3 linked regions of the Elephas maximus indicus genome follow. The protein of the gene in region 1 purifies or fractionates together with the protein of each later gene. This does not show direct contact. Links are inferred from orthologs where the notes say so. Each region holds a gene or a part of one and is shown on either strand. Other genes may lie near its edges.

Evidence for each region.
Region 2: the proteins of POGZ (region 1) and CHAMP1 purify together in Homo sapiens (affinity purification with mass spectrometry; 4 studies listed by BioGRID and IntAct, with this or other methods). This does not show direct contact. The link is inferred for Elephas maximus indicus from reciprocal best matches to the Homo sapiens genes POGZ and CHAMP1.
Region 3: the proteins of POGZ (region 1) and ZNF428 purify together in Homo sapiens (affinity purification with mass spectrometry; 3 studies listed by BioGRID and IntAct, counting the BioPlex papers as one, with this or other methods). This does not show direct contact. The link is inferred for Elephas maximus indicus from reciprocal best matches to the Homo sapiens genes POGZ and ZNF428.

Annotation. Positions count from the first base shown.
Region 1 is NC_064821.1:185,499,438-185,506,522, forward strand, and holds the start of POGZ (pogo transposable element with ZNF domain), read right to left. Parts: upstream 3,049-7,085; 5' UTR 1-3,048. UniProt on the Homo sapiens protein: Plays a role in mitotic cell cycle progression and is involved in kinetochore assembly and mitotic sister chromatid cohesion.
Region 2 is NC_064835.1:75,769,992-75,777,882, reverse strand, and holds the start of CHAMP1 (chromosome alignment-maintaining phosphoprotein 1), read right to left. Parts: upstream 3,014-7,891; 5' UTR 2,831-3,013; intron 1-2,830. UniProt on the Homo sapiens protein: Required for proper alignment of chromosomes at metaphase and their accurate segregation during mitosis. Involved in the maintenance of spindle microtubules attachment to the kinetochore during sister chromatid biorientation.
Region 3 is NC_064829.1:106,885,788-106,893,096, forward strand, and holds the start of ZNF428 (zinc finger protein 428), read left to right. Parts: upstream 1-4,203; 5' UTR 4,204-4,590; intron 4,591-7,309.

The sequences.
Region 1 (7,085 bases):
ATGCTTCAGGATCTAGTTTTTGACAGTGGATTCTTAAATACGACACAGAAAGCACAATGACAAAAGAAAAAATAAACTGGGCTTCATCAAAATTAAAAACTTTTGGGCATCAAAGGAATTTATCAACAAAGAGACAACCTACAGAATGGGAGAAAATATTTGGAAACCATATATCCGATAATATACAAATAACTAGAACTCAACAACGAAAAGGCAAATCGAATTGAGAAATGGCAAGGTATTTGAATAGACATTTCACCAAAGAAGACATACAAATGGCCAACAAGCCCATAAAAAGATGCTCAACATTATTAATCATTGAAGAACAGCTGCCTTCAAGTCAATCCTGACTCATGGTGACACCATGTGTGTCAAAGTAGAACTGTGCTCCATACGGTTTCCCATGCATGATTTTTCAGAAGCAGATCACTAGACCTTTCTTGTGGGGCACCTCTATGGGGACATCGCCAACCTTTCCGTTTGCACCACCCAGGGACTCCCATTAGTCATTAACCCAATGCTGTCAAGTCGATTTTGACTCACAGCAATTCTATAGGACAGAGCAGAACTGCCACATAGGGATTCTGAAGCTATAATCTTCACGGAAGTAGACTGCCACATCTTCTTCCTGTGGAGTGGCTGGAGGGTAGACCTTTTGGTTAGCAGCCGAACGCTCCAACCGCTGCACCACCAGGGCTCCTTCCATTAGTCATTAGGGAAATGCAAATCAAAACTACAATGAGATACCACTTCATACCCACTAGGATGGCTATTATCAGAAAAACAGAAATATCCAGTGTGGTGAGGATGTGGAGAAACTGGAATCCTCATTCACTATTGGTGGGGCTGTAGAACGGTCCAGCCACTGTGGAAAACAGCATGAACGGTCTTAAAAAGTTACACATAGAATCTCCATACGATGCAGCAATTCCACACCTATATATACAGCCACGGAAACCCTGGTGGCATAGCGGTTAAGTGCTTTGGCTGCTAACCAAAGGGTTGGCAGTTCGAATCTGCCAGGCGCTCCCTGGAAACTCTGTGGGGCAGTTCTACTCTGTCCTATAGGGTCGCAATGAGTTGGAATCGACTCGATGGCACTGGGTGATTTCTGGGATATACAGCCAAAAGATTTGTAAAGCAGGGAATCAAAAACAGATACTTGTACACCAATGTTCACTGAAGCATTACTCACAATAGCCGAAAGGTGGCAACAACCCAAGTGTTCATCAACAGAGGGAATGAATAAATAAAATGTGGTATACACATACAATGGAATATTATTGGGCCATAAAGAAAAATGCAGTTCTGACACATGCTAAGACATGGATGAACCTTGAAAACATTATGCTGAGCAAAACAAGTCAGACACAAAAGGCCAAATATTGTATGATTTCACTTACATGAAATATCTAGAACAGGCAAATGCATAAAGACCAAAGTTTATCAGTCGTTACCAGGGGCAGGTGGGAGGAGAAAATGGGAGGTACTGCTTAAAGAATATTGAGTTTTCTGTTAACGGTGATGAAAAATGTGGAGAAAGTATTAATGGTTGCACAACGTGGTCAATGTAATCCATGTCACTGAATTGTACATGCAAAAATGGCTGAACTGAAGAACAAATGGTTGAATTGGCCAATGTTTTGTTACATGTATTTCACAACAGAAACTTTAAAAATTTTTTTAAATAAAAGCAACCAAATATTAGTTACGTGCTCTTTATTAAAAGAGCAACTAAAGCATCAGTAAATTCCCCATTTTATAGTCTCTCTCCCAAAAACATTGCCTATCATACAAAGTTTTTCTCTACTGACAGTTGTACGCTAAGTTCCATGTCTACTCGCTCAATTTAACTGTTAAGTCCTAGCAATAGGTTAATCTCTCTCCCTTCTCTCCTCCCCTTAGTTACATGTAAGATATATATTCTTGTGGATATGGCTTACCATCACAAACCAGAATATCAACGAATCTATCAAATCTTACGACAGACAGCTTGATAATATGACAGAGGCACCAAACTAGGGTTTTTAATTTTATATCAGGAATTTCTACCTTCAACGAAAATTAATTAAAAAGGGCAAATACGGAGAATAAAAATGGAAACACACTGTTGAAATTTATTTTACTGTTTGATATGCTAGGCACTGTAGAGCACTTCACACATTCCTCATCTCAGTAAATTCTCCTAACAACAGTATGCCTTAAGTGCTCTATTTTACAGATGAGATCAAAACTGAGGTTTAGCAGATTCAGTAACTTGCCCAAGACTGTAGTTAGCTACTGTCGAGTAAACTCAACTTATGGCAACCGCATGCACAACAGAACAAAATGCTGCCCGATCCTGTGCCATTCCCATGATCAGTTGTGGACTGGACTTGTTGTAATCCACAGGGTTTTCACTAGCTGATTTTCAGATGTAGACTGCCAGGCCTTTCTTCCTAGTTTGTCTTAGTCTGAAAGCTCCACTGAAACCTGTTCAGCATCACAGCAATACACAATCCTCCACTGACAGACGGGTGGTGGCTGAGCATGGGTGTACAGGCCAGAATCAAATCCGGGTCTCCTGCCCTAAGGAGAGACTCCTACCACCGAACCACTACTGCCCCCGCCCTCCCCACCACCCTGGGTTAGAATCCCAACCAGGATTCAAACCAAGTTTTCTCACCCTAGAGCCTACACTTTTCCCCAAGTCACTGCCTCTTCCAGTATTAACTCCAAGTAACATCTGTAAAATCTTCAGAAATTCCTAAATGGAGGCAGATTTGGGTGATCTAAAAAACAGAAACATAAAACAGGCCCAAAAGTTACCCCTTATATCGGCGATTCTAAAATGTTTTGGTGTCAGGACCACTCTACACTCTTAAAATTACTGAGGACCCCAGTGAGCTTTTATTTTTTGGGATTATATTTTCCAATATTTACCATACTAAAAAAAAAATTTTAATACCAATTCATTCAAAACGAATAAACCTATTACACGTTACCATAAAAAACATTTTCATTAAAAATTACTATTTTCAAAAAAAATTAGTAAGAAAAATAACATTGTTTTACACTTTCGCAGATCACCTCTGTTTATAGCTCAACAGAAGGCAGTTGGATTCTCGCATCTCCTTCCGCATTCAGTCTGCCGCCATATGTAGTCTTGGTTAAGTACAAAAAAATCTTGCCTCATACAAATTTGTAGTAGGAAAAAGCATTATTTTAATAATCTGTTCATATAGCTGTGGACATTCTTTAATAGGAAAACTCAACAAATGGTAGCTTAAGGTATACACTGCACCATCTGAAACCTTATCAATCAACCTTTCATACCGTTACATTAAAATCTACCAGTCCATCTTGCCGTTTTAAATGATCTTTTTTTTTTTTTAACCCACGTGCGATTTTATAGCATTATGCACTGGTCATCTGGGAAACAGACTGAGTTATGTTAATCTTGATCTTTCAAATGTTGGCATATTTCATTACACAATAGTTGAAAAAAAAAATCACAGTCCCTAATCACTGATACTACCATTAAATTCTTTTAAGCACTGGGAAGCTGTCAAAATTCAAGCTGTCAAGTTTTTTAAAATTCCACTTTTCACTGGAATTTTATCATTGGTTAGCAAATACTGTCAACTGTTTTTCTAAAGTGACATGCTGCTCACTTCATTCATTTTCCAGCAAATAATCAAGTCTGAAAAACTAGTTTGTCAATTGTCCTTTCAAATAAAAATGCTGTTCCATGAAACAAGCAGCTGGTTCAGCTCACAACTCAATCTCACAAGTGCTTTTCCTCTGCAATTGTTCGTTGGTAAGCAGCGTAAGTGCTTTATACGTACCTTCCGTTTCATGACAGATCCTTAAAAAGACTGCACTCAGGGGTTGAGAATTAATAAAATCAATAATGCTTACTGTTTCATAAAGAACATTCTCAAGTCCAGTAGAGTCTGGTGCCACTGCCTTGCTTTGTGCTACAGCATCACCAGTACTTTTACCCAACACTGTTTTTGGACCATCAGCGCAAATGTGAACGAAAAACATAAATAAATAAACTATTTTGAAAAGTTTTGACTTCCTGGCTTCCCTGAAATGGTCTGGGATCCCCAGGGGTGAGCAGACCACCTTTTGAAAACTGCTTTTCCTAGGTTATACACTGGTTCAAGGAAAAGGTTGAAACTCTTGCAAGTCCTGTTGATCTCAAGAATCACATTGTTAGTTTCTCAGTTTGGGATACACCACCAACATAGGTCAGGAAAGGGGAGGGAAGCCAAGGGCATAGATTGCCATTTCATTCTGTTTTAACTGTATTTTGAGCAACTTTATACTAGACCAATAATTCTCTATGTGGCAGGTACCTTAAGCAGAGTCATCTCAGGGGCTGCAGGTTAAAAAGGCAGGAAAAATGACACTCCGGCTCCATTCCACCCAAATAGTCTTTGGAAATGAAGCCCCCAAAATTGCATGTTTAGCAACCTCCCATTTACTTTTTATGCACCCTGAAGAACGGCTCTGCTTAAGCAGTTCGAATTCAGAATCCAATTTCCCAGTCCTAAGCCCATCGAATCACGAAATTGTCATTCACCAAGAAACTGCCCTTCTCGCCCCCACCGTTCCTCCTTCAACTACTTGGGAAAACTCCTTTAAAAGTAAAACCCCATTTCTGTGGGATTTTCAGATGCGGAGAGGAGTGTCTCAAAGAGTGTAGAGGGCCGGGCCTCGGTCTGCCACAAGAAAGCTGTTATGAAATACTACAACTGTATCTCAATTTCAATCTCAAAAAAGAGATTGGGCTAAACGATTTACAAAGCCCTTTTCAGCTCTACCTTTTTTGAGCTAAGAACGCCCGAGACAAGCAAGCAAAGAAACTTTTAGCTTCATTAGCGGTCTGAAGAAATCCCGCGACTGGCGGGAGAGGAAAATCAGGACAGCAAGCAAAAAAGATGGAAAGCAGGTGGATAACGACGCCAGCCCTTTTCAGTCGGTGCTAACAATCCAGAGAAAATAGTCCCTGAGTTAAACATGGCGCCCACGGCGGCAGGATATAATTATCAGAATATAACGATTCTCCGCCCCATCTCATTTTATAAATCACGGCGCCATCCCTAAAGACATTTTGAGTCCGAGGGAGGGGACTCTGTAAACTAACTGGAACGTACTAAGGGTTGGGATGTACTATTAGACAGGAGTAGTCATTGCATAACACACGGGTTCGTCTCAGCAATCGCTCTTTTTCCTCCTCTTTCTCTCCAAGTCCACCCCTCTCCTTCCTCAAGAGAGAGCAGGGGCGGGAAAGGACCAGGAACGAACGCCCACCCCCAAGGGGAACGCTACCCCGCTGCCCCTCCCGCCGCAGCGCCGCCCGCCCTCCTCCCCGGCGCGGCCTCGCCCCCTCGCCAACACCCAGCCGTCTCGCCGCCGCCCGCACCCCCGCCCCTTCCCCAGCGGGCCGCTGCACGCGCCCGCGCCCGCCCACTCCTCCGAGACGCCTCGCGCCCGCCGTGCGTGTGGACGTCGGGATGTGTGTGGAGCCGTGGGACGCGAGTGCGCGCGCGCGCCGGGGGGCGGGGGCGGCCGGCAGGCAGGCAGAAGCCTCCACCACCCGGCCGCTGCACCGCTCCGGGGGCGCACGCACACACAGACATACACGCGCGCGCGCGCCGCACCCCACGCCCGCCACTGCCGCGGGCCGCGCCGCCACTCGCGATGTGCGGGGGCGCGCGCCACCGGCCCCCCCGCCCCCACCCCCTCGCGTACCCGCCCCATCCCCCGCTCATTGTCTCGCCTCGGAACGCCTAACCAAGCGAAAAGATAACGGAACCCCCGGGAGAAAGGGGTGGGGAGAGAGAAGGCTCGCTCGCTCACTCACCTCCCGTGGTCGTCGCCGCCGGTACTCTGACCCGAGGAAGGCGCCGTCGCCTTAAAGGGACCTTGCACCCGACGCCGGGAGAAGGGGGTGGGAGCAGGGGAGGGGACGGGGCTTTGGGGGGAGACGAAGAAGAAGGAACCGTTGAAAACTCGTCTCCCCGCGGGTGTAAAGAAATCTCCCTCGGATTCAAATGAATTGAGGTGGATTTTTTTCCCAAGGGGGGGCGGGGGGCCCCGAGGGAGGGGGTGGGGGGGCCAAGGAATGCGGCTCCGTGTACGGGAGCTGGCGCGGGGGAGAGAAACGCAGACTCCCCCCACCGACCCTCTCGCCCCGCGGAGGGATACGTCTCGTCACTTCCGCCCGCCCCCTTTCGTGGTCTTTCAATTGGTTGGAGCTCCTGCCACGTCATGAGCTCATCCTATCCCATGCCCGGGCTTCTTTTCTAGTCAAGTTTGTCTGGGCCGGCAAATAAATACATAAAGAGGAAAAAAAAATTTTTTTTTTAATGAAAAAAGAATTGGCTTCAAAACCAATATCTAAATTTTTGTGGGAAAAATGGATTTTCCAAAGAAAATATTCCTCAATTAACTTGCCAAGACTTACCAGGGAAATTTGGGGTGTGTCCCCCACATCCCATTCAAGGCCTGTACCCAATCAAGAAGGAACTTTAGGCCAGATGGTGAGGCCCAGTGGCAGCAACAACTGTTATTGGAACACAGACATAGAAATGGCACTCGCTCTTCCTCAAGAGACATTCAGCCAAGTAGCTTTATGACAAATACTGAAGAACTTTTAAAAGCCATTTTTACCCTCAAACCCTCTGAGTTCTGGAGAGTCATGCATGAATGCTTATCCAGATGATTATTATTTTGAAAACTGCTCTGAAACCATTGTGAATAGACTCAGCAGGGATCCCCAATTCTAAGAGCCATAGATGCCACATACATGATTGTGTTCCAGTCAAGGATGAAATAACGTGGCCCCCAAAATTGGTTACGTCCATTCAAGACCATACACCTGTTAATTTTTCCAAAATAAAAACTAACTTCTTTTCCAAGTAGCCAACGAATTTGGTCCTTTATTGCCTCCCTAAAGGATGATAAAATTTTAATATTTTTCCTTGTGTATCTGGGAATGTTGGTGCACTGTAGGCTATACACAAATGTTTGCTCCAAACTAAATGCTAAATCAGCATACTTGGTGCAAGATTGGGGAAATCCAGAACCATATT
Region 2 (7,891 bases), on another chromosome or scaffold:
TCCATACTTCTGCATAAGCTATTTCTTCTCCTTTACGTTCCCCATCGTGCCACTCAACCACTAGACAAATCTGTACTCATCCTTCAGGCAGTATTTCTCCTCAAGTATTTCCCAGTTTCCCACTGCCTCTCAGTCATCCTTGGATCCCCCTTCTGTATACACACCTCCATTACAGCAACTATCCTATGGCACTATAACCTGATCCACGTTAGGTGGTGAGCTCTTGGGAGGGCAGGGACTACCTATTTATTCACCTCTGTAACCGCTGCACATCCCTGGCACACAGTAGGTGTTCAGGAAATATCTGTTCACTCTAAGACTGGGAACCCAATCAGAGATTGACGGGATTTTAAAACTGGAAGCGGCTTAAGCTACCATCTAGCCTTGGAATCATGGGGCTTTAGGGCAGGAGAAAGCCTCAGGGATGATCTACTGAAATGCAAGTCTAAACATTAAATAACTTACCCAAAAAAACCCCAATGCTGTCGAGTTGATTCCAACTCATAGCAGCCCTACAGCACAGAGTAGGATTTCCAAGGAGCAGCTGGTAGATTCAAACTGCTGACGTTTTGGTTAGCAGCTGTAGCATTTAACCACTGTGCCACCAGGGCTCCAGACTTACCCAAAGAAAGGTAAATAACCAGCATCTGATGAAGGACTAGAATAAAGTTTTGCCATCTACCCCCATTCTGTCTAGTTATATCACGATCAAACTAATACTGTGGAATTTGGCAAGATCTTAAAAAGCCAGTAGATGGACCAAAACCAACAAGGTGAAAAGTATCAAGCATTTAAAGTCCAAATATCAACTGCAGAAATACAGGACCACAGAGAACAGCACCCCATATTCTGCACTGGACAGGGTATCCCACTGGATCATTGCGTCCAGCTCTGGGTAGGAAGAACACTTTAAAAGAGCCTCTAACAAACTGGGGAATACTCAAAGAAAGCAACCAGGATGCCAGGTAGTCTTATGTCATTTATGAGAACTAGACATATTTACCTTCAAAGGGGTAAGAATTATTGAGAATACGTAAGCTGTCCTAGAAACAGCAAGTGGAAGCCAGCAGAAAAAGCGATTTCAGCTCAAACATAAAAGAGTTTTACAAATTACTCCATCATGGACTAGAAGAAGTTGCCTTATCAGGTAGAAGCTCCCCTTAACTGGAAGTCGATGATCACTATAGGACTGAAAGGATCCTCAGAGGACCTGAGTCCAACCTCTTCATTTTACAATTGAGAAAATCGAAGCTGAGGGAAAGAAGCAACTGGTCAAAGATCACACAATTAGGTCAGAGGAAGCAACAGGAGATCCTGGTTTCCTTATTGGTTCTATATTAACACACCACACTATCTTTTCACAGCAGCTGATCACCCACAGGGATGCTGTTCAGTGAGTTCAGGCATAGGTTAGATATCTACAGTTCCTCCCAGTTTAAAGATTCTAGCAATTTTTCCCCCTAAATCTCAGAGCTCTTAAAACTTGACAGAAACTATTAAAAAAAAAAAAAACTCTACATTGTTCAGACTGATTAAAAAAAAATTTTTTTAATTTCTCCATTCTACTTTTCTCCTCTACAGAACAATTTGTCTCTAAAAAACACAAATTTGAAATCAGTGGCGCTTTGTCATTTCGTCATCCAGTATTTTTCAACGCAGTACTATGCCATGTGGTATCACACCTATTTCTCTTTTCTCATCCAATTTCCTTCTTGAAATCTATCATCATCAATCATCTTTTAAAATGCATTTTAACATACATCTTTTTAAAATGAAATTTCAATATATGGAGTATATCTCGAGCTAATTGGGTACTATGAATCTCTATACACACTACAGATAGTGTTATTATTGTCTTTTATTATCAGTATCTTTATAAATCCTATCTTTGAACATCTGCAAGTGGAGTGAATATCTGAGAATATCAGCAAATTACATGCTCTGATACTGCATATAGCACACATTACTAACAACAACAAAAGCCCGTTGCTGTAGAGTGGATTCCGACTCTTAGCGACCCTACAGGACAGAGTAGAACTGCCCCACAGGGTTTCCAAGGAGTGCCTGGTGGATCTGAACTGCCAACCTTGTGGTCAGCAGCCGTAGCACTTAACCACTACGCCACCGGGGTTTCCATTACTAACAATAAGATGTGCAAAAAGCAAAACAGGCGGTCCTAAGTGCGGTTGTGGTAACCCGAAGACGTCGGAAGTGGGGACTACCTGCAGTATTGTTCTTCATCCCTAGCCGATTTTTAAACAATAACAGAAGCTGAGACAGACTAGAGGCAGAGAAGATGGCACCGAGAGCTAAAACAGAAAGAATGCCTTGCGTCCTGTGCCAGGCCCCAACTTCCCAACGGGTTTTAAGAAAATGTTTCCAGTCTCCGATGCAACTGACACCCCCAGCATTCCAGAAGTGCTCTGCAAAACGCCCGGCTTTCCAGAAGCTCGACCTTGCCAGAACCCAAGGCCAGGTCCCTGCACTCCTCGGTGACGTCCCTAAGCAGTGCCTGCTCGGACCGAAGACAGGCCGGTCCCCGGGCCCCAAAGCTGGGTCGGCATCACCGGCTTCTCCCAGACGGGCCCCTGGCTGGGCTCCGGACGGGCGGGGGCACGACCGCGCGAGCTGACCCTCCCCCGGGCCCTCTCCTCAGGAAAAGCCGACAGCCTCCCCTGGCAGACTCGGCCCGGGGCGGCGGCGGCGGCCGGGACCCTCGGGCCTAGCGCGGGCCCGCCGGAACGACGCCTCCAGCCGCGCGTCCCCGCCCCCAGGGCCGCCCCTCCCCCGCCTCCCGCCTCTCCTCAGCGGTCCCGCTCACGTTTCTCACCGGTCGGGCCCGCGGGCGGCGACCACGTAGGGCGAAGGGAGACAAGGGGGGATGGACGGCGGGGAGGGCCGGCTTCTCCGGGCCGGGGTCTCGCGGCGGCCCAGGCTCCTCCGCGGGGCCCCTGCGGCGCGCGGCTGCTTTCCCGAATGGCGACGCGAGACGCAGAGAGCCGGGCTTCGGGCGCACGAGCGTGCGCGCGGCCGCGGGTGTAGGGGCGGAGCCGGGGGCGGGGCGGGGCTGGCGGGTGAGGGGGAAGCGAGTTTACCGCCGCCCCGCGCGGGCCAATCAGCTGGCGGATCGCGTGGCGCCCCAATGCCGAGAGAGAGCCGGCGTGTGCAGCATCTGCCGCCGCGCAACCGGAAGTGCCTGCGCGTCCGCTCGCCCCGCCCCCGCCTTCCGCGCGCGGGGCCCCATCTCCGGGAGAGGGCCGGGCGCGCGCAGGATGAGGGGGGCGGGGCCTGGGCGGCTGTGCGGAGCGGGTTGCGGGGTTGGCAGGGCTGGGCCGGGGTGCTGGCGGCGGCCGTTCGCCTCGGCGTCCCCCACCCGGATTCGAGGGACCCGAGCCTGGTCTTGGGTGCAGCCACAGACCGCTCCCGCGAGCCTTTGTTTCTTTGTTTTGTTTCTGTCTTTTGTCTGATCTTTAAAATTAATAGGCCCATTGACCCTGAAGTGCCTTCGTACCAAGGCAATGGGGTTGCAATAGGAAACTCCGTGTTTTAAGTTCTTTGCATATGCTTGGGTGGATCCTGTTAATTACAAGAAGACAAAAATCCTTAGGCCAGCCTTCTTGCCCTACTTTGTCTAAGCCAAGTTTACCTTTGAATAAACAAGGATTTATTTAATCTCTGTGTCGGTATCTCCAGTCTTAAGATCCTACAGTCTTCAATTTTACGGTGATTTTTTATTTCGAATAATCAAATCACTGGAAGTGTTTTAGGGAATTTTCTGACTTTCGGTTTTTTTTTTTTTAGCAAAATGATTCATTAAATCTGATCTGATATGATAACTTTGTTTAAAAAAAAGAAAGGAAAAAAGAAAAACTTTCCACGTAAACCAAACCAAACCCAGTGCTGTCGAGTTGATTCTGACTCATAGTGACCCTAAGGGACAGGGTAGAACCGCCCCATAGAGTTTCCAAGGAGCGCCTGGTGGATTTGAACTGCGACCCTTCTGTTAACAGCTATAGCACTTAACCTCTAAGCCGCCAGGGTTTCCAGCTTTCTCCATAAAGTTTTTAAAATTGTAACTCATTTTGTCCCTCCGGACTCAGACTGCCCAAATGAAGGCCGCCTCCATGGGGCGACATGGAGCGAACTTGCCCAAGGACACTATAAGCTTTTTGCGGGAGGGATTGCGTGTCGCTAGTTTTGCTTACTTTCTCATTTCCTGGCACAGATAAGTAGATGCTCAACATTTTTGGGATGATCAACTAATAAGTGGATGTCAAACCCCGTTCTCCTAGGCTCACTTCTGTAATAAACCCCTCTCATGAAAAAGCTCTTTGTAAAAAAGAAAAAGTTGAACGTTCTACTAGAAATGTGGCCCAAAGACACAGATAATTTACAAAAAAAGAAACATGAATGTCCAATAAGCAAGTAAAACAAAAGTCTTCAGCCTTGTTAATAAAAATGCAATTTTTAAAAAAAGCTTTGCAAACTAAATGTTAAATGTAGACATGAGAGGTTCTTTTCTCTGAACATCAAGTTTTTTACCTGTTAAGAATTAGTGAGATTGTGGTCTTTAATGTGAAGTTCTTTTGTGAAATTCAGTATGTGCAAAGATGGTGTGCTGTTCGTCTTCTCTTAAGTCTGTATTAAGAAAGTTCCTAATGATTATAATATGAATGTTGCCGTTAGATCAGCATTACTTAAATAACTTGCAACCCTCTATTATTGTTGTTGCTGTTACTCCTAAAGCCATTTCCTGGAAGGTATTTTCCTTTGACACTCACATCACATAATTTCTATTTAAATAACTGGTTAGAGACCAAAAACTGGTAAACAAGATACCAGTTTATTATTTATTCAGCTGGCAAAGATCAGCTGTCTCTAGGATGACTTTTCAATGAAATGTCAATTTGTACAAGAGCACTGTCTTTTTGGTGTTTCATGCTTTTTCCCTGCAAAAGGAAGTCCTCTTAGGTCAGTACGTGGTTGCAGAGTGTGTGACCACCTCAGTAGGTACCTCTTCAGCAGAGCAGAGCAGGGTCTCTCAATCACCTGAGCCCAAGGAGCGCTGGGTTCCCTTTCTTCGAGAAGCTTCTTTGGAGCCTTTGAAGATGCTGCTATGAATATTACTTTCAGAAACAAGGTTCATTGCACCTGCAGGCCTAAATTGGAAGAGTTGCTTTACTTGGTTCTTTCCTGAAGCGTTTGAATGTGTTGATTATCCCAAAGACCTATCTAAGCCAACCTCTACCATAAGACAACTCCTGGAAGCCAAAACTTAGATTGTGACAGGGCAAAAACTTCGCATCATTTTTATTGATGTTTTCTCTGCCAGTTAAACAATAACAACAAAAGACAAAAAAAATTCTCCGCTGTTATTTAGAACTGAAATTATATAAGCAAAGCAGCAGTTACAGAATACATAAATAGTTCAAGATGAACAATGCAAATAGGCTCACAATTATTGAACTCTTTGTCTTTTTTACAATCAGAATATTACCTTAAACTTGAAAGTAATCAAAGAAAGAGACAATGCTCTCAAAATCATGTACTAAAACTAGGCCTTTATAGATTTTCAAACAAACCTGTATTTAAGGCTCTTGTTTAGCATATAATTAACAACCTAGTTGAATGTTACAGCAACCTACCTTAAGATTCTAAGGGCCCAACTCAGGGAGTGTGTGAAGGCAGGTGAACTATACTGCCACCAGAAGTGACAGCCTGATACTCTTTTGGGAGGAGGAGCCCAAAATATAAACACAGGTCAAATTTTGTCATTTTCTTAGCATGTTAAAGAAAAACAATGCCACACCTCTGCGCATACTTGAAGCCTACATAGAATGAAATGGCCAAAGTCAGTCCCCATTGTCAAATGAATCAGCCAAAATCACACTTACTTTCTGTGGAGAAGAGCCAGACTTAGTTTTTCAATATAGATTGTAGCGTTATTAGTATATGTTTCAAGGAATATCATAAAAACTGAGAAATAAATTAAGAAAGATTTCCTGTAAAATAGGTTTTAAAATGCTTGCTGAAAGTGAAGGGGACTCGAAGCACTAACTGATGAAGATCAAAGACTACAGCCTTCAGTATGGATTACACTTCAACTTAAAACATAAATCCTCATATCCGGACGAATAAGCAGTATCATGATAAATGGAGAAAATATTGAAGCTGTCAAGGATTTCACTTTACTTGGATCCAGAATTAACGCCTATGGAAGCAGCAGTCAAGAAATCAAATGATGTATTGCACTGGGCAAATCTGCTACAAAAGACTTCTTGAACGTATTAAAAAGCAAAGATGTCACTTTGAGAAGTAAGGTGTATCTGACCTAAGCCATGGTATTTTCAGTTGCCTTATATGCATGTGAATATTGGACAATGAATAAGGAAGAAAAAGAAGAATTGATGCCTTTGAATTATGGTGTTGACAAAGAATATTGAATGTACCATGGACTGCCAGAAGAACAAACCAATCTATCTTAGAAGTGCGGTCAGAATGCTCCTTAGAAGCAAGGATGGCGAGACTTCAACTCATGTATTTTGGATATGTTATGAGGAGGGACCATCCCTAGAGAAGGACATCATGCTTGGGACAGTAGAGGGTCAGCAAAGAAGAGAAAGACCCTCAACAAGATGGATTGACAGAGTGGCTGCAACAATGCGCTCAAGCATAGCAATGATTGTGAGGATGACACAGGACCGGGCAGTGTACACAGGGTTGCTTTGAGTTGGAACTGACTCCAGGGCACCTAACAACAACATAATTAACATATCTATTTTATAAATACTAAAAACAAAACAAATTACTCTGCTGTTGCTAGTTGCCGACGAGTGCATTCTGACTCATTGTGACCCCATGTGTGCAGAGTAGAACTGCTCTATACAGTTTTCAAGGCTGTGACCTTTCTGAAGCCTGTCTTCTGAGGTGCCCCTGAGAAGGTTTGAACCTCTAGTCTTTTGGCTACTAATCCAGTGCTTAACCGTTTATAACACCCAGGGACTCCAAATTAGTTTCTATTTCTCTCTAATTTATAATAACGCAGAATAATGTGTAGCTAAAATGGTAAGTTAGTTATTAAATGAGTATAAGGAAAAGGGTATTCTTTCCATGTGTGAGTGTATCAAGCTCTAGTATTGGGTTTCCCAAAAAAAAAAAAGTTGCTGTTGAGTCGATTCCAACTCACAGCGACCCTATAGGACAGAGTAGAACTGCCCCATAGGGTTTCCAAGGAGCACCTGGTGGATTTGAACTGCCTATCTTTTGGCTAGCAGCCATAGCTCTTAGCCTCTACAACACCAGGGTTTCCGTTGGGTTTCCAATAATGTCAAAGTATAATTTTCAGAAAGTTAAGAACATGACTGTCACACAAATATAAAGTGAACAGTTATCAAAGATTTATTTATCTCATTAATAAGGGAATCAAGAGGAAGCTAAAGCTAGGTCAAAGAGAATTCCTAAGACGGAGTATATCTAATCACTAGAAGAAGGAACACTGGAATCAGATTGCTAGGTTAGATAAAAAAAGTGGTTAACATTCTACAGTGAAATAAAACTGTAACCTTTAGGGTAATCTTTTCTATCTGATAGAAGTCATTCGCATCTCTGCTGGACAAAAATCTACAAGACATGTAACTTCATGGTGTGAAAGCCCACATCGTTAAGAAATAATAAGTCAAACTCCCAATCAATCCTTAGGTGAGCCTGTTGGGCATGACATAAAAAGGCCATGCAATCATTCATTTGCCTTATTTCCATGCTTTGGACAATTTTTCCTACCAAAAACCAAAATAACCCTTTGCTGTGGAGTCGATTTCAACTCATAGTGACCCTACAGAACAGAGTAGAACTGCCCCATACAGTTTCTAAGGAGCGCCTTGTAGATTCAAAA
Region 3 (7,309 bases), on another chromosome or scaffold:
AAAGTCTCTCAGATTGGCATCTGTGCCAAGATACAAATGGTGAGCACAAGGGCAACTGTTGGAAAATCAGAAGGAAAAGCACTTTCTGGTAGAGGGAACAGCAAGAGCAAAGGCCTGAGATGGTAAAGAGATTGTGTCTGAGGTGAAGTGGAGCTAGACAGGAGTGGAATGGATAAATAGGAGAGAAGTGGATGAGGATAGAAAGATAAGCTTGGCCAGGCCAAGGCCCCGGGTTAAGAACGTCTGACTTGGACGACTCGTACTTCAGAACTAACTACCATATAAGCCTACCCGTTGCCATTAAGTCGATTCCGACTCATAGTGACCCTATAGAACAGAGTAGAACTGCCCCAGAGGGTTTCCAAGAAGCGCCTGGTGGATTTGAACTGCTGAGCAGCCGTAGCTCTAAGCCACTACGCCACCAGGGTTTCCAACATAAAGTATTAAAATTTAAGTTAAATACAGGCACTCCCCCGGGTTAATTTTTTTTTTTTTTTTGCTCTTTAATGTTATGTAAATTTGCCCTCACTTTGAAATCATTGAACCAAGCCCTACTCCCAACAAATTCTTCATCACAATCACCTTCACTTGCTGCAGGTGCAGCTTTTAAATCATTGAAAAGGTTTTGAGCCTTTTCTTCCATTCAAGTAAGGCTAAATAAGAACTGTGTGCACCTGTTCTGATTTACCTACAAATTCTTAAAGCCTCACTTAGGAACGGATCTTGTTTGTAACCCGGGGACTGCCTGTACAATGGTTCATAACAAGCAACACACGCACTACTTTGTGGTGCTCGGGAAAACGTTTTGCAGCGTCAGCGGTTTGTCAACTTGAGGAAGAAGAACCCGTCTGCCATTTTACGCTGGACCACGTTGCTGTTAACACTGTGTCGAGTGTGTAATTTTGGCTTACATTTTCCCCTCATTTACCCTTGTAACCATGCCTCCAAAGCGTAAATCCAATGCTAGTGCTGGTGATTCAAGGAAAAGGAGAACGATCACGATTGAAAATAAAATGGAAATAATAAAGCGATCAGAAAGGGGAGAAATGCCATCGGTCATTGGAAAAGCGTTAGGCTACCGTCGGTCAACAGTTGGAACAATTATAAAGAATACAGTGAGAATAATGGAATACGTGAAAGGCTGTGCCCCGATGAAAGCAACAATTATCACTAAGCAACACAGCGGTTTAATTATTGAAATGGAAAGGCTATTGATAATTTGGTTAGAGGATCAAAATCAACGTAATATGCCTATTAGCCTTACTTTAGTGCAAGAAAAGGCTCGTAGTCTTTTCAGTGATTTAAAAGCTACACGTGCAGCAAGTGAAGGCGATTGTGAAGAAGAATTTCTTGCGAGTAGGGGTTGGTTCAATCGTTTCAAAGGAAGGGCAAATTTACATAATATCAAAGTGCAAGGTGAAGCAGCGAGTGCAGATATAAGTGCTGTGAGTGACCTTCCTGAAAAGATGGAAAACATTATTGAGGATGAAGGTTATTTGCCAGACCAAATATTTAATGTAAACAAGATGATAGCATTTAAAGAAGACCAGGACCTAAAAACTTCAGAAATGAAAAAATTTTTGACGTAAGAGTTAGCTGAAGCCTTTCGTCTCATTGAAGCAGGGATGGCAAAGTTAGAGGAGCAAGACCCTAATACAGAAAGGTTCACCAAAGTTTACCGTACAGTTAATGAGGGCCTTAGCTGCTACAAGGCCATTTATGACAAGAAAAAGAAACACTCTATACAAACCTGTCTTGATGCCTACTTCAAGAAATTGACTCCAGTAGTAAACCGCTCAGCTCCAGCAGCACAATCAAACCCTGACTCTCCAGCACCAGGCCCTTCATCTCAATAGTAGCCACCTCTCCATCATCTTTTCCTCCATCGTCCAAGATATCAATGGAACGAGAGTGTGTTAACCTTTAATCATGACCTTTTTTCTATCTAAACTGTTTTAAGACCTGTTTCTTTACAATTTTTTTTTACAGTACTGTATACTGTTTTTCAGTTTTTTTTTTTAACTTTATACCTACACACATACACACAGATCTCTCTTCAGTCCAGTACCATATGTAGTTACTTTTATTATTACTGCATTATTATGTGCTGTGTTATTAAGATGTTTTAGTGTATTTGAGAGTGTTTCTTGAGTGTTTTATATGCATAGAGAGGTAAAACATATGCTATATACTGTTGTAGGGCAAAAAAAAAATCACAAAGTTTAGTAAAGCAAAAAAAGTTTTAGTTGGCATATATTCAAAAAGGCAAAAGTCGGAAAACGGACAAGAATGCTGCCAGAACCACGTCTGCCCGAGTCCAAAGAGTATTACCGAATAAGCAAGAGTGGGGAAAACAGACAAGCGTGCTGCTAGACTCATGTCTGCCTGAGTCTGAGGAATATTACAGAATAAGCAAAAGTGGGAAACCGGACAAGCATGCTGCTAGAGCCGCGGAAGAGTACAGAGTCATCAGTATATATTAACATCACAAAGAGGCAAAAACCACTGAAAGCTTCACCTTTTCGCAGATAGGCTAGAAACTGTGATCTCATATTTGGAGCATCTTTCTTAATAATCATCGCTACAGACTTCATTAACAACGGTCAAAACCGGGGGGAAAAAACCCCCAAACTCATTGCCATCGAGTTGATTCTGACACATGGAGGCCCTACAGGACAGAATAGAACTGCCCCGTAGGGTTTCCAAGGAGTGGCTGGTGGATTTGAACTGCTGACGTTTTGGTTAGGGGCTGTAGCTTTTAACCTCGAAGCCACCAGGGTTTCTATTGGTCCAACAAATTTTCTATTCACTAAATGCTAATAGAAAAGGATAAGAATGGAAACTCTTGTGTTCTGTTTTTTGGCATATGTAAAAGGTTCTCTAAAGATATTTTCCAAGATTATCCTAGCTATTGTCTTTATACCTCCTGGCCCATTTGATGTGTCCTTGTGAGTCCTTGTGAACCCAGCTCCAGCTGGGTCACATTCTCTATGCTCAGGGAATGGTGATTCCAATATTATTTTCTAAATCAATACTAAGACAAACATTTGACTAAAAAAAACCAAAACACTAAACCCAGTGCCGTTGAGTTGATTTCAACTCATAGCGACCTTATAGGACAGAGTAGAACTGCCCCATAGGGCTTCCAAGGAGTGGCTGGTGGATTCGAACTGCTGACCTTTCGGTAGCTGAACGCTTAACCACTGTGCCGCCAGGACACTAAGTAAGAACCGTATGTTCCCGTTCCGACTTATGTACAAATCCGACTTAAAGAAGATAGGCTTAGGAACGGATCTCATCTGTAACCCATGGACTGCCATGATAAGGAGTCTAGATTTTTTCCGAAGTGCAACGAAATGCCACTGGAGAGTTTTAAGCTGGGATGTGACAGAGTCACTTTTTCCTGTAAGTCTGGAATGCTGCAAGAACTTCCTACACTCTCAGAATACAGTCTGACTGTAAAAGCCTTAGTCTCGGGGTGGTGCAAATATTAATGTGCCTCAAAAGAAAGGCCTGGCAATCTATTTCCAAAGGTCATAGCCATGAAAACCCTACGGAGCTGAGTTCTATTTTGACACACATGGGGTCACTTTGAGTCGTGACTGATGACAGCAACCAATTTTACCAGTAGGAGCCCTTCCCCTCTCCCACTCTGTGTTCCAGGCATACTAAACTTTCACTTCCTCAAACCATGCACTTTTTGCCTCTGGCTCTTCCTTCTGCCAGAAAGATTCCCATTCTAGCTGCATGCTATTCTTGGCTTAAAGATCACTGCCGTCTTTAACCTTTTTCCTGAACTCCAGATTGGGACAGGCATTTCCTCAGAGCTCTCAAGGCCTCCTATACTTCACCCATCCCAGGTCTGATCATTGTCTGATCTTCCTTTGCCTGGGGCGCCAAGAGGGTAGGGGCCAAGCATGTCCTGTTCACAGCAGAAAACCATGGTACAGGGCCTGACACCTAAAAAATTAGTATTTATCCTAGTTGCGGGCGGGGGGCGGGGCTGGTAAGGCACTTGGCCTTTGTGACCCCTCTCCAGATGCAAACTGAGCCTCAACTAAGACAAGGACAACCTCCGCGCTAGTCTGCAGTCCCTGTGCGCATGCGCCATTGCTCAGCATTCCCCCACCCCCGTTATGCTAATCACTGCGCTCCAGAGTACGCTTTCTCCCGGGAATATGCAAATCACTCCTTCCAGCCCTTCCATTGTCCCGCACTAGGATTATGCAAATAAGAATGCCTCAGGTCCAGGATCCAGATCGAACTGACGACCCCCCCATTACATTTTTATAAAGCTCCTTCCTGCTCCTCACACACGCTCCTGCCGCTTCTAGCTCTACCCGCAGACTATACCAAGAGAACCTGGCCAGTGAGGGCGAAGCCCGGTACCCCCTGAGCAGGCCTCTCCAACAGCCAGATCCGGATAGACCCTCTTCTCACAGTGCGACAGGAATGGTCCATTTCGTAGCGCAAGCGCCCTAGGCCCTTCACGCCCCTTGCGCTCCCTCCTACCCCATTTGCAGCGCAGGCGCAGAGCCTGGGCGTGCAGCCGCCGCCGCCGCCGAGCCCGAGCGGGGGCCACCAGCGCCGGTGAGTGTCCGGGGCAGGGGTGCGCGGGGCATGCCGGGAAGCGGGCGCTATGGCCCCTTTGCATGATGGGAATGACAGCTCCAGTCACTGAGCAGCCGTCAGTGGTCTTGGGCTGTGATGGCTAGAGAGAGAGACCCAGGTTCCTTTTTCTCTCCCTCAGTGGCTCGGTGCCGCCCTGGGGCATCCTGGGAAAACAGGGCTCCCAAGCCTGTATAGCATTGTGGTCTGCTAGTCGTTATTGGCCTGGTGCCTTCTGGGAAGGATTATCCTAGTTCCTTGTGGGGAATTTTTTTAATACACCATCCCCCCCAGCATCTTGGAAGGTGGTCATTATAGGCCTGAGGCATCTTGGGAAGAATTGCTTAAGGGCATTTTGGGAACTGGTCCTTATTGTCTTGTATATAAGATTTTGCTCTGGCCTCCTTGCCTTAGTTTTGTGGGGATGAGTGTCTGTTGTGTTCATGTTCACGTGGGGGATCTTGCGAGTTGTTTGCTGTAGACTCGGGTTATTGGGGGTCTCGGGCAGTTTGGCTTATGGTATTAAAATAGATTGATTTGGGCCCAAGAACCCTGGTGGAGTAGTGGTTAAAGTGCTACGGCTGCTAACCAAAGGGTCGGCAGTTCAAATCCGCCAGGCGCTCCTTGGAAACCCTATGGGGCAGTTCTACTCTGTCCTGTAGGGTCGCTATGAGTTGGAATCGACTCGAGGGCACTGGATTTGGTTTTTTTTTTTTTAAGATCGCGAGAGCCAGTCTGTCCGCCATAGGTATTGTAGGAGAGGCCTCAGGCACCAAGAGATGCCTCCCCCAGAGTTGTGGCATTTTCCAGGAGGGACCTTGTATGATGTGGGCTTAAAGAAGGGTAGGCCAAACTGATGGGCATTACCCCCTGGCAGCCTCATGGGAAGTCCTGATTGTCGCCTGTGTACAGTGGCCTGATGAAATATAGGTCAGTTCAATTTGAAATTCAGATGAACAACAAATAATGTCTTTGAAAATTATGCCCCACGTATTGTACGTGACATAGTTATCTTAATCGTTTGTTGTTCATCTGAAATTCATACGTAAATGGGTTCCCTCTGTTTTTATTTGCTAAATCTGGCAACCCTATCATGAAGTAAAGTAGAATTCCCAGGTTAGATGAGGCTTTCCAGGCAGTAGAGTATCATGAGAACTCTCCTGTCCTTAAAATCCCAGATGCAGGTGTCTTCTTTAGGAAGCTTCCCTGCCAGTGATGCCAGCCTCAGCTCCAGACTTCAGTCTGGATTTTTCTCTCATTAGTCCTCAGTATTAAACTTGACCTCCAGGCTTGAGGGGACCATGAATTTTTCATCATCGTATCCCTACCACCCAGCACAGGCCCTGGCATATAAGGAGGGCAGCTGAGACTGCCTGCCCTTTTGCTGACTGGCTCCACATGGCTCTCCACTTCAGGGAGTACCCAAAACCAAACCAAACCCTTTGCCATCAAGTGAATTCTGACTCATAGCCACCCTATAGGACAGAGTAGAGCTGCCCTGTAGGGTTTCCAAGGCTGTAATCTTTACGGAAACAGAGTGCCACATCTTTCTCCTGCGGAGTGACTGGTGGGTTCAAACCACCGACCTTCTGGTTAGCAGCCAAGCACTTAGCCACTGCACCACCAGGGCTCCTTTCAGGGGGTATAGTGGGAAACAAAAGTGTGAGTGTGTGTAGGGAGTATTGGTGAGGAGGGAGAGAAAGGAAAGGAGTCAGGGAAGGCTTCTTGAAAGAGGCAGTATTTGGGTTGGGAAGAAATACAGAGGTTGTCTATGTTTGAGGCGGGCTTTGAAGGGCAAGTGGGAGTTCTTCAGGCAGACAAGGGGAAAGGAGGACATTCAAGACAACAACAGATGTGGAAGGGCTTGGCGTGTGCACGGAGAGGTGAGAAGTCTGGAGTGGCTGGAGTTTATAGAGGGTAGGGGTGGGAATAGCAACAGCTACTGTTCGTGGAGTACCTACCACATACTGGCAATTTGTATTTATGAACTTACTGAATCTTCAAAAAATCTTTTCAAGGGAGAGATCATTTTATGAAAGGTAGGATGACATGGTTTCAAATTGTAGTTCAGTAGCTACCAGATGGTGTGACTTGGGCCAGTTGTTTATTTTTTCTGTGCCTCAGTGTTCATTCCTGTCCAAGGGGGTAATAATCTTTCTTAACATGGTTATAGGGAAAACATGAATTGAGCCCTGGCAGCCTCTTTCCTATAGAGAAAGAAACAGGTTAGAGGAGTTAAGTCCTCTGCTTGAAACCACACAGCTAGAGAGTGGCAGATTTAGGATGCAAACCTAGACACCACCGTGCCAAGGTTTAAACTGATATAGAACTAGGGCTAACAATTCACAGACCGGTGCAGCATATCCTTTGTTTAAATACTGAAATACTTCCTGACTGACTGGTATATCACCATTAAACCAATTCCTACCTCAGCTGCCACTATGGGCTCTCTCCCACCCCTAAACTGCTCCACTGTTTGGCAACTTAAGGGTTAATGGCTGGCACAGGGCCCTGCTCCATTCTTGGTTCTGACTGGAGCCTCTGCCAATACCTGTGGCTAACTATTTGGAATGTGAATAAGAACCACAGACAGTCCTGTTGCCCAGATGAGGAAATTAAGGCCTACAGAGAATCAGGTTCAGGTAAGCTCGGCCAAGGCCTTATAGGCAGCTGGGGACAGAACTACAACCATCTTTGTCTC